2 linked regions of the Ovis aries genome follow. The protein of the gene in region 1 binds, or shares a complex with, the protein of each later gene. Links are inferred from orthologs where the notes say so. Each region holds a gene or a part of one and is shown in the gene's direction. Other genes may lie near its edges.

The links.
Region 2: the proteins of ALK (region 1) and ALKAL2 are in contact, whole or in part, in a cryo-EM structure (PDB 9G5I), measured with the Homo sapiens proteins. The link is inferred for Ovis aries from reciprocal best matches to the Homo sapiens genes ALK and ALKAL2. Residues at the interface, in NP_004295.2 of Homo sapiens: Leu684, Tyr739, His755, Ser758, Leu760, Phe856, His857, Glu859, Leu965, Tyr966, Thr967, Pro968, Leu970, Lys971, Val972, Met973, Glu974, Glu978, Asn980, Val992, Glu994, Cys995, His996, Met997, Phe1007, Asp1009; in NP_001002919.2 of Homo sapiens: Ser112, Lys113, His114, His116, Arg117, Leu118, His120, Asn121, Thr122, Arg123, Asp124, Arg133, Arg136, Leu137, Arg140, Leu141.

Annotation. Positions count from the first base shown.
Region 1 is NC_056056.1:36,062,690-36,066,492, reverse strand, and holds part of ALK (ALK tyrosine kinase receptor), read left to right. Parts: intron 1-1,168; coding exon 1,169-1,267; intron 1,268-1,750; coding exon 1,751-1,903; intron 1,904-3,345; coding exon 3,346-3,450; intron 3,451-3,803. UniProt on the Homo sapiens protein: Neuronal receptor tyrosine kinase that is essentially and transiently expressed in specific regions of the central and peripheral nervous systems and plays an important role in the genesis and differentiation of the nervous system.
Region 2 is NC_056055.1:266,450-270,740, reverse strand, and holds the start of ALKAL2 (ALK and LTK ligand 2), read left to right. Parts: upstream 1-1,413; 5' UTR 1,414-1,487; coding exon 1,488-1,743; intron 1,744-3,086; coding exon 3,087-3,140; intron 3,141-3,226; coding exon 3,227-3,307; intron 3,308-4,291. UniProt on the Homo sapiens protein: Cytokine that acts as a physiological ligand for receptor tyrosine kinases LTK and ALK, leading to their activation. Cytokine-binding is sufficient to activate LTK. In contrast, ALKAL2-driven activation of ALK is coupled with heparin-binding to ALK.

The DNA of each region.
Region 1 (3,803 bases):
CCTCCCCTCTTAGTCCTAGGCACCTCCCTCCCCTGTCCTCTCCCCAGCCCTCGCCTGCCCGCCCCCGGCCCACCCCACGTGTGGACTGTGATGTGACCATGCACGCCTTCCTCCCAGCCCGCCAAACAAGCCAGAGGTAGGGTGCTGGCTCCCGAGCCAGCATCCTGCCTCGAGGTTTCGGCAGGACAGCATCAAGATCCCAGTGACTCTTGATCTCCCCCAAAGCTGATGATAAAGGGGCCTTGGCTTCCCAGACTCCTCTCTGAGCCACCCTCAAGGATGCATGAGAACCCTGGAGGCCAGACTCCTCCCTTTGGATGGCCTGGCCACAGTCCTTGCCAAGCCAGCTCCCCGAGGGCCTGGTTTGCACTTTCTGGCCTCAGGGACTCCCTACTCTCCCTTCCCTACCCCAGCCCACCAGCTTCCAGAAGGGGCACTATCCCCCATGCTGATGGGGGCTACTCCTGAGAGCAGCCGTGGGCAATCCCAGCCCAGCGCTTCAGCACGCAGCTGGCCCCTGGCCCTGGCTCTCCTCTGGGCTTCGGAGCAGAGCAAAAGAGCCTTCTGAAGCTGAGAGGCTGGGAGATGATGGCTCCAGCGCCCCCCAGATTAGGACACGATGCATGCACGTGCTGTGATGTGCTGTCTGTGTTTTGCTTTAAGGCTGTGTGTAAGATGCTTGTGTTAACCAGATGCTCTTCTTTTCCGAGCCCTGGGCGGGTGGGAGGAGCCCAAGGCGGGGAGCCCAAAGATAACCCAAGCCCTGCTGAAAGGAGGGACAGGAGCCTAAAGGCACAGGGGCCCATCCCCCTGCCCCAACCCTCACCGGATGGGACAGGAGAGCCACCCCCAGGCAGAGGGGCCAAGGGGCCAACCCAGCCTGGGGAGACTAGAACTTTTCTGACTCTTGATCACATGGACTGCTTCCTGGGAGAGCCCAGCAGAGCAGCAGAGGAGACCGTGGCCCTGGAGGAGACAGTGGCCCGCACACCCAGCAGCTACTGAACCGAGCCCCAGCTGCATCCTGTGTGCCATGAGCTCCCTTCCCTCCCACCGCCCCGCCCTCAAGGCCCCTCCCCGACCCCGCCGCTCACCCTGCTGATACGCACCTGTATCCAGACTCAGGCACCCACCTCTCTGCGTTAAACTCTTCTCTGGTTTGCCACAGGTGGCAATGCAGCCTCAAACAACGACCCCGAGATGGACGGGGAGGACGGGGTTTCCTTCATCAATCCGCTGGGCATCCTGTACACCCCGGCTTTAAAAGGTACCCCCTCTGCCAAGTAGCAGAGCCTGCTTCCCTGGGCTCTCTCCCAGTGCTCCCTCCCTCCCAGCTGAAACCCCAGGGCTACTCAGTGAGTCCAGGACTCACAGGTGTGATCGTGGGTCCCTTGCAGGCAAGTCTTCCTAGTGGTCGCCTCACCACGTTTTCTGGAAATCAGGATGCGTGATCTGATACGTTCACAAAAAACTGACTCCAGGCAGGTCAGCCCTAGGTGAATGCAACAATAATGGGCCCTGTGCTTTGTGGCAGCCAATCTAAGGGTCCTTAGTGTGGACCCTCCCGCCTGCCTACAGGTCCTCTGAGTTTCGCTCACCAGATGCATCAGGGAGCCACCTGCACAGGCGGTGCTTCCAGTGGCAGTGGGATGTAGGAAGAGGGACCGGCAGCTGGAGATGAAGCACAGAGCCCAGGGGTGGGGTGCAGGGTGGCCTCCACCTGAGGCTGACCCTTCCTCCTTGTCACCAGTGATGGAGGGCCACGGGGAAGTGAACATTAAGCATTACCTAAACTGCAGCCACTGCGAGGTAGACGAGTGCCACATGGACCCCGAGAGCCACAAAATCATCTGCTTCTGCGACCACGGGACCGTGCTGGCTGAGGACGGCGTCTCCTGCATTGGTAAGGGGCTGGGCGGTGGGCGGGCACAGAGCTTGAGCCACAGCTAGTTTCCCTGGCTCTGGGACACCTCAGACGCAGCTTTGTAAACTTCCTGACACTGCTGTCTGCCCCCAGCATGGGTGCTCGGACGACAGGCAAAGGGACCTGTGTGCGAAAGGTGGGTCATGGCTTGGGAAGGAGTCATAAGTCACCTGGTCCCACCACTAGCCCAGGATGCGACCCCACATCCCCACCAAGGGGCCAGCTCATCTCCACCAGACACCCCAGCACCAAGGACCTCAGTACTCCTAAGACACAGGGTCTCCCGTTGGGGAGTTACGGAGCCAGACCCATTCTCCTCCCGACTTCCACCCCTCAGCTTCCTGCTTGTAGTGGCCCTTTACGGCGTCTGAAGAGCATGCTGCCTTCCTCCTCCTCAAGTCTCCTCCAGATTAAACAGCCCGTTTATTTCCATCCAGTCTATGGGACATGAGTCTATATCTCTTTCCCATCCTGTTGTTGCAGTTGTCCACGTCCCTTTTGAAATGCCGTGTCCAGGACCAGGCTCGGTGCCTGGTGTGGTCAGTACCATCACGCACCCAGCTCTCCCTCCCACGCGCTGGGCCCAGTGCTCTCGTGGATAGAGCATCAATTCAGCCTTGAGTCTAACTGACAGGCATACTCTATCTTTGGGTCAAACTGAGTTTGTAGTCACCTAAGGCCCCTGATGGCTTCCCTGGTGGCTCAGAGGGTAAGCGTCTGCCTGCAATGTGGGAGACCCGGGTTCAATCCCTGGATCAGGAAGATCCCCTGGAGAAGGAAATGGCAACCCACTCCAGTATTCTTGCCTGGAGAATCCCATGGATGGAGGAGCCTGGTAGGCTACAGTCCATGGAGTCACAAAGAGTCAGCACGACTGAGCGACTTCACTCACTCACTAAGGCACCTGAGGGGCTTCCCAGGTGGTGCTAGTGGTAAGAACCCACCTGCCAGTGCAGGAGACATAAGAGATGTGGGTTCGATCCCTGGGTCAGGAAGATCCCCTGGAGGAGGGCATGGCAGCCCACTCCAGGATTCTTGCCTGGAGAATTCCGTGGACGGAGGAGCCTGGTGCGCTACAGTCCATAGGGTCGCACAGAGTCAGACACGACTGAAGCGACTTCACACGCACACACAGGGCACCTGAACCGCTTCTACAGCCCCTATCGGCTCACTGTCCATCCTCATCCTGTCATGCGCAGCTGATGTTTCAGGTCAGTGTCAAGATTGTGATATTTATCCCTGTTACATAGTGCCTCTCCACAAAAGCTGTTAGAAGTTGTAAAACCAGGATGAAACTGCCCTCATCCTCCAAGAAGGCTGCCGGTCTGTGGGTCCGGGGCTGGGAGGGGTCTTTCTGACATGGGGGCAGCTCAGAGGAGAATCAATGTGGTCATTCGTGCCCCGTGGGGACTGTCTTCCAGTGTCGCCCACCCCAGAGCCCCACCTGCCACTCTCGCTGATTCTGTCCGTCGTGACCTCTGCCCTGGTAGCCGCCCTCGTCCTGGCTTTCTCCGGCATCATGATCGGTGAGTGTCCCAGAGCCCCAGCACTTCCAGAGCAGGGCAGGGAAGGAAGATCTGGCAGAACAGAACGGCATCTCAGGCTGTGCCTTCTCAGGCTGAAGGGTCATTCTGGGCGGCAGTAATGAGGGCAGCCCAAGCCAAGCCAAAGCAGAAGCCCCTCTCCTTCTGTCTCCAGCACACTCCTGGCTCCTAGGAGCCCTGATTCTGAACCTCAGCCCCGTGTAGAGCCTGCTGGCTGCTCAGGGAGGGGTCTTCTCAGAGGAGAACACCATGGCTAAACTTACCACCGCCCACCCCCCACCACCCACCCCCCCGCCCCAGCCTCCTCCAGACCTCAGTTTAGCTGTCATCAGACA
Region 2 (4,291 bases), on another chromosome or scaffold:
CAAAACAGACAGACTCTCGTTGACTTATTAAATGTGAGGCAATCAGGCAGCTCCTTTTTTAATAGCCGAGATCTACATTTAGACAAAAACAGATCCGAGTTCCTGGTAAAGGCGTTTCTTCTCATCCTGTCATAAGTGACAGGAACGGAGCGAAATAGACTGGAGGAGAGAAGGGGGGGTGAAGGGGAGGACGAGGGGGGAGGGAGACGGGAGAGGGGCCGCCGGGGCGGGGGTGCAGGGTGGGCAGGGGGCGGGAGCGGAGCAGGCGGGAAGGGGGTCGGGGAGGCAGGGCAGCGGGGCAGACGGGGAAGGGGGAGACGGGGCGGGGAGACGGGGCGAAGGAGGGGGGCACGCGGGGGGGCCGGCGGGGCGGGGAGACGGGGGGAGATGGGGGCGGTGAAGGGGGTGTCTGACGAAGATCCGCGCGGGGATACGAACACTCCGGCGGCTTCTAATTAAAGACCGGCGCCGGGCCCGGGGGACCCGCCCTGACGTCGGCAGCCGCGGGGATAAGAGGCGCCCCGAGGTCCGAGGCCGGACTCCGCCAGCACGCACCCCAGGCCACTGCGAGTTCCGCGCCCGCAGCTCCGACGCGCCGCGTGCCCTCCCCGCGCGTCCAGTGCGCGCCGCGGCCGGGCGCCGCCGGGCATGGAGTAGGGAGCCGGGCGCCAGCTCCGGGGCGCGGGGACGGACGCCGGAGGACGCGCACGGCTGCGGGGCGCAGGGACGGGCGACCCGGCCGGGCTCCTGCGCGCAGGTGGCCCCGCGGCTGGCGCCGGGCAGGTACGAGCCGGGCTCCCTCCCCGGGGCCAGGGGTTTTCCAGAACCGGGCCCAGCGGGCGTCTGGGGCGAGGGTCTCGTCGCGGGGGCTTTTCGGCGGAGATCGGGGACACCGGGAAGAGGGGGCCGCCTCCACACAAAGGCGCTGCTGGAAACTTGAGCCCGGCCGCCGGGCGGGGCGCCCGCACCCCCGGCTCGCCGGGGTGCGCGGCGGCTCCCTGAGGGAGACGCCTGGGCCCGAGCCCCCGAGCCGCCGCTGGCCCCCTCTCGGCGCCCGCTGGGGACGGAAAGTTGAGGCGCCGCGCCGCGCCGCGGGGCCCCGGCCGATGCGCCATCTCCAGGAAAGTTCGAGGCCGCGGCGGGGCCGAGGCGCGTGCCGCCCGGCGCTGAGGGCGCGCGGCACCCACGGCGCGCTCTCCACGTCCCCGCGAGGGGCCTCGGGGAGGGGGCGTCCGCGTGGGGACCCCGCCCAGCCTCCCGCCCCGGCCCCGCGGCGGCCTTCCCGGTCCGGACGGCGCGGGGCGCCCCTGCACCGGCTCGGCGCGCGTCCTCCGGGGCGCGGGGGCCGAGGCGCGCGGTCCGAGGGGAGGGGCCTCGCCGCCCTCCCTGCCGACCGGCTCTCCGGGTCTCCCCGCACCCTGTCCCTCCAGCGAGCTGAGCTCCGGGAGCGCACCGACCCCACCCGGCCCGGCCGAGCGCAGCGCAGAATGCACGGGCCCGGGCGCCCCCTCCTGCTGGGGATGCTGCTCGTGCTGGGGGCGGCGGGGCCCGGCAGGGGCGGCGCGGAGCCCCGGGAGGCCGCGGACCGACAGACGCTGCTGCGGCTCATCGTGGAGATCGTCCAGGAGCTCAGGAAGTACCACTCGGGGGAGTCCAAGAGGCTGCAGCTCTCGGGCCGGCAGGACTACACCCTGGACCGCAGGGAGGTCGCGGACTACGCTTACCCGGAGGAGCAGAGAGTGGGTGAGTCCCCGCCCGCCCGCTGTGCAGGCGAGCGCCGCCTGCAAAGGCCTCCTGCGCGTGGGGCTGGCCAAGCCCCGCGGGTCTGCCTGTCCTGTATCAGGGGACGCTGGAAGAACCAGGACTTGCTTGGAGATAGAACTCTGAGAACGCATACGTAGTTTTAAAATATAAATGCATTTCTACTGTTTTTTAAAAAAAGCTGGGAAATATTTTTATTTAAAAAAGGAGATAGGAATTCCATGAATGATGCCTGGCAGATAACGTAACTAGCCCTCATCCACATCTAAGACGTGTGAGTTGTTACCCTGGTCGGTAATTTCAGCGTGGAACTGTCATCTGTTATTTTGGAAATGGAAATATTTTCAGCAAAGCGGTTTCAACTGAGACAGACATGTTTCAGAACCCCCCACCCCCATCCCCACAGCAGAGCCTTCCCAGAGTGGCTGCCCTCTGGGAAATTTCCAAGGAAAGCATGCAAGCTTTTAATGCTTTCATGACACAATCAGGTCAAATATGATAAGGTCAATTTTATATAGACTGACTAAACTTAGTTGTAAGGGAAGACTGACATTTAGGAGATGTCTAAACCTTGCAAGCAAGATTCTTATGGAAATTTTCCCTCTTTGAATGAGGAGAATTGGTGGTAGTGTGACCACATGCCATCACATTACTAGTGCAGATCAGGTGAGGAAAAATGAATCCAGATGACTGTTAGAAAGAGCAGAAACAAGGCTGAAAGCAGAGAGGATGTCAGCCAGGCTAGTCACCAGCACCAGCTGGGACTGTGCGGACACAGCTCTCCCTGGGAAATGTACTTTCAGCTCGTCTACCCGGTTATGTCTGAGGGCATGCATTCATACCAGCCTTCACAACAGGTGGTACTGACAGAATCTCACCCTTTTTCTAAGTGAATACCCAGAAGAACACGCCTATAGCAGATTCTGTTTGTTTGTTTGTTTGAAGGATGATATCAGGTTTTCCTCTTAGAACTTTGAGAGACTGTTGAATTTGATTCTCTAGGTCTTCAAGATGGAAGTGTCTAGAGAGATTTATTCACTGGAAGATAACTGTCACACACACACACACACACACACTTCATGGCCCCTGCCTCTCTCCTGATGGTAGAGATCGGTGTTAGCAGCAGATCTTGGAGTGTTGTGAGCCTGATTCGAGGACAATGTGCCCACTCACCCATCCTCATATCGCCGTGTACAGCAATCAAGGGACTGCTTTGATTGCTGTGTATAGAAGAATATCCAGTAATTTTAAACATCCACTTCAGATCACATGAGAAAAGGCTTCTTTTGGTCAAGTTAATAATCAAGTTCTTTTCCCTTAAACAGAAATTGTCCCTCGAGATCTAAGGATGAAAGACAAGTTTCTAAAACATCTTACAGGTAAGCTTGCCCCTCGTTCCTTCCCCTCTCCCCAGGTGTTGGTCTCCCAGGAGCTCTCACTATCTGTTTCTCCTTGCATGCTCCAGGCCCTCTGTATTTCAGCCCAAAGTGCAGCAAACACTTCCACAGACTTTACCACAACACCCGAGACTGCACCATCCCCGCATGTAAGTGACCACATCTGAATCACTGCGTAGAGTAGACGTGAGTACGGGCCCTCCACCTGGGTGAGCAGGCGCCTGCTTGTGTCACCCAGCCTTGCGAACATTTACTCCCTGTTGACTGCAGTCAGGGGCTGGGCTGAGCAGACCACTGAGGATAACGACATGCGCAGCTAGTGCCAGACAGAACACAGTTTACATTTGCTGGAATTAATCAGCTCTTGGAATGGGCTGGACTCTTCCGTGCATTTCTCGAATTCTGGCCTCATGCCTGTCCTTGTATCCACTCAACTCTGACAGTGGAGCAAACGTTTAAAATGAGTTGCTAAAATGACTACTGTGGGGTATAAAGTATCGAGGGATGCCTCTGGACCATTCCCACCACCCTGGCCAAAGACTTCTTGTTTCCACCAGTAATTATGACCTCATCACCCCAGAGTTTTACTGCAATTTCAAAACTTTGCTCTTCTGCTTGGTTTCATCATTCATTCGGAAATGCAGGTGCCCCTCTTCGTGTGGCTCTCAGCTGTAGCTTTCTGGGTTATCTACAACAAAATGTATTTCATTTCCCCCAAAAGTGGCTCCTTGTGCTCTTCACAAAACATGCAATGATGACAAGAAGCTTAGTAGCTAGAGTGACACGTGCTACAGCCCTTAGCCAATTTTTGTGTGTTGTGGGGACCACAACTTCCCTTCCCTTTAAGGCTCACAGGAGGACAGCTGTGCAAATAAGTCAAGCCTCTTAGAAGCAGTTTTCAGGACTGTCCTTAGACTGTCCAGACCTGCCTGTCCTGCTCAAAACAGTAAGCCCCTTTCCAGGAAGGGGAAACTGCTCTGCGTAGGCAGCAGAGCCACTCTGTGGAGCTCTCCCATCCCCAGATGCGGCAGGAAGGCAGGCAGCTCCTCCTGGAGGGAGGGGCAGTGGCCTCGGTCAGCGCGGTCACAGGGACAGAGGCACAAGCGCTGTCTGTGGGCTGCAGGTGCCTGATT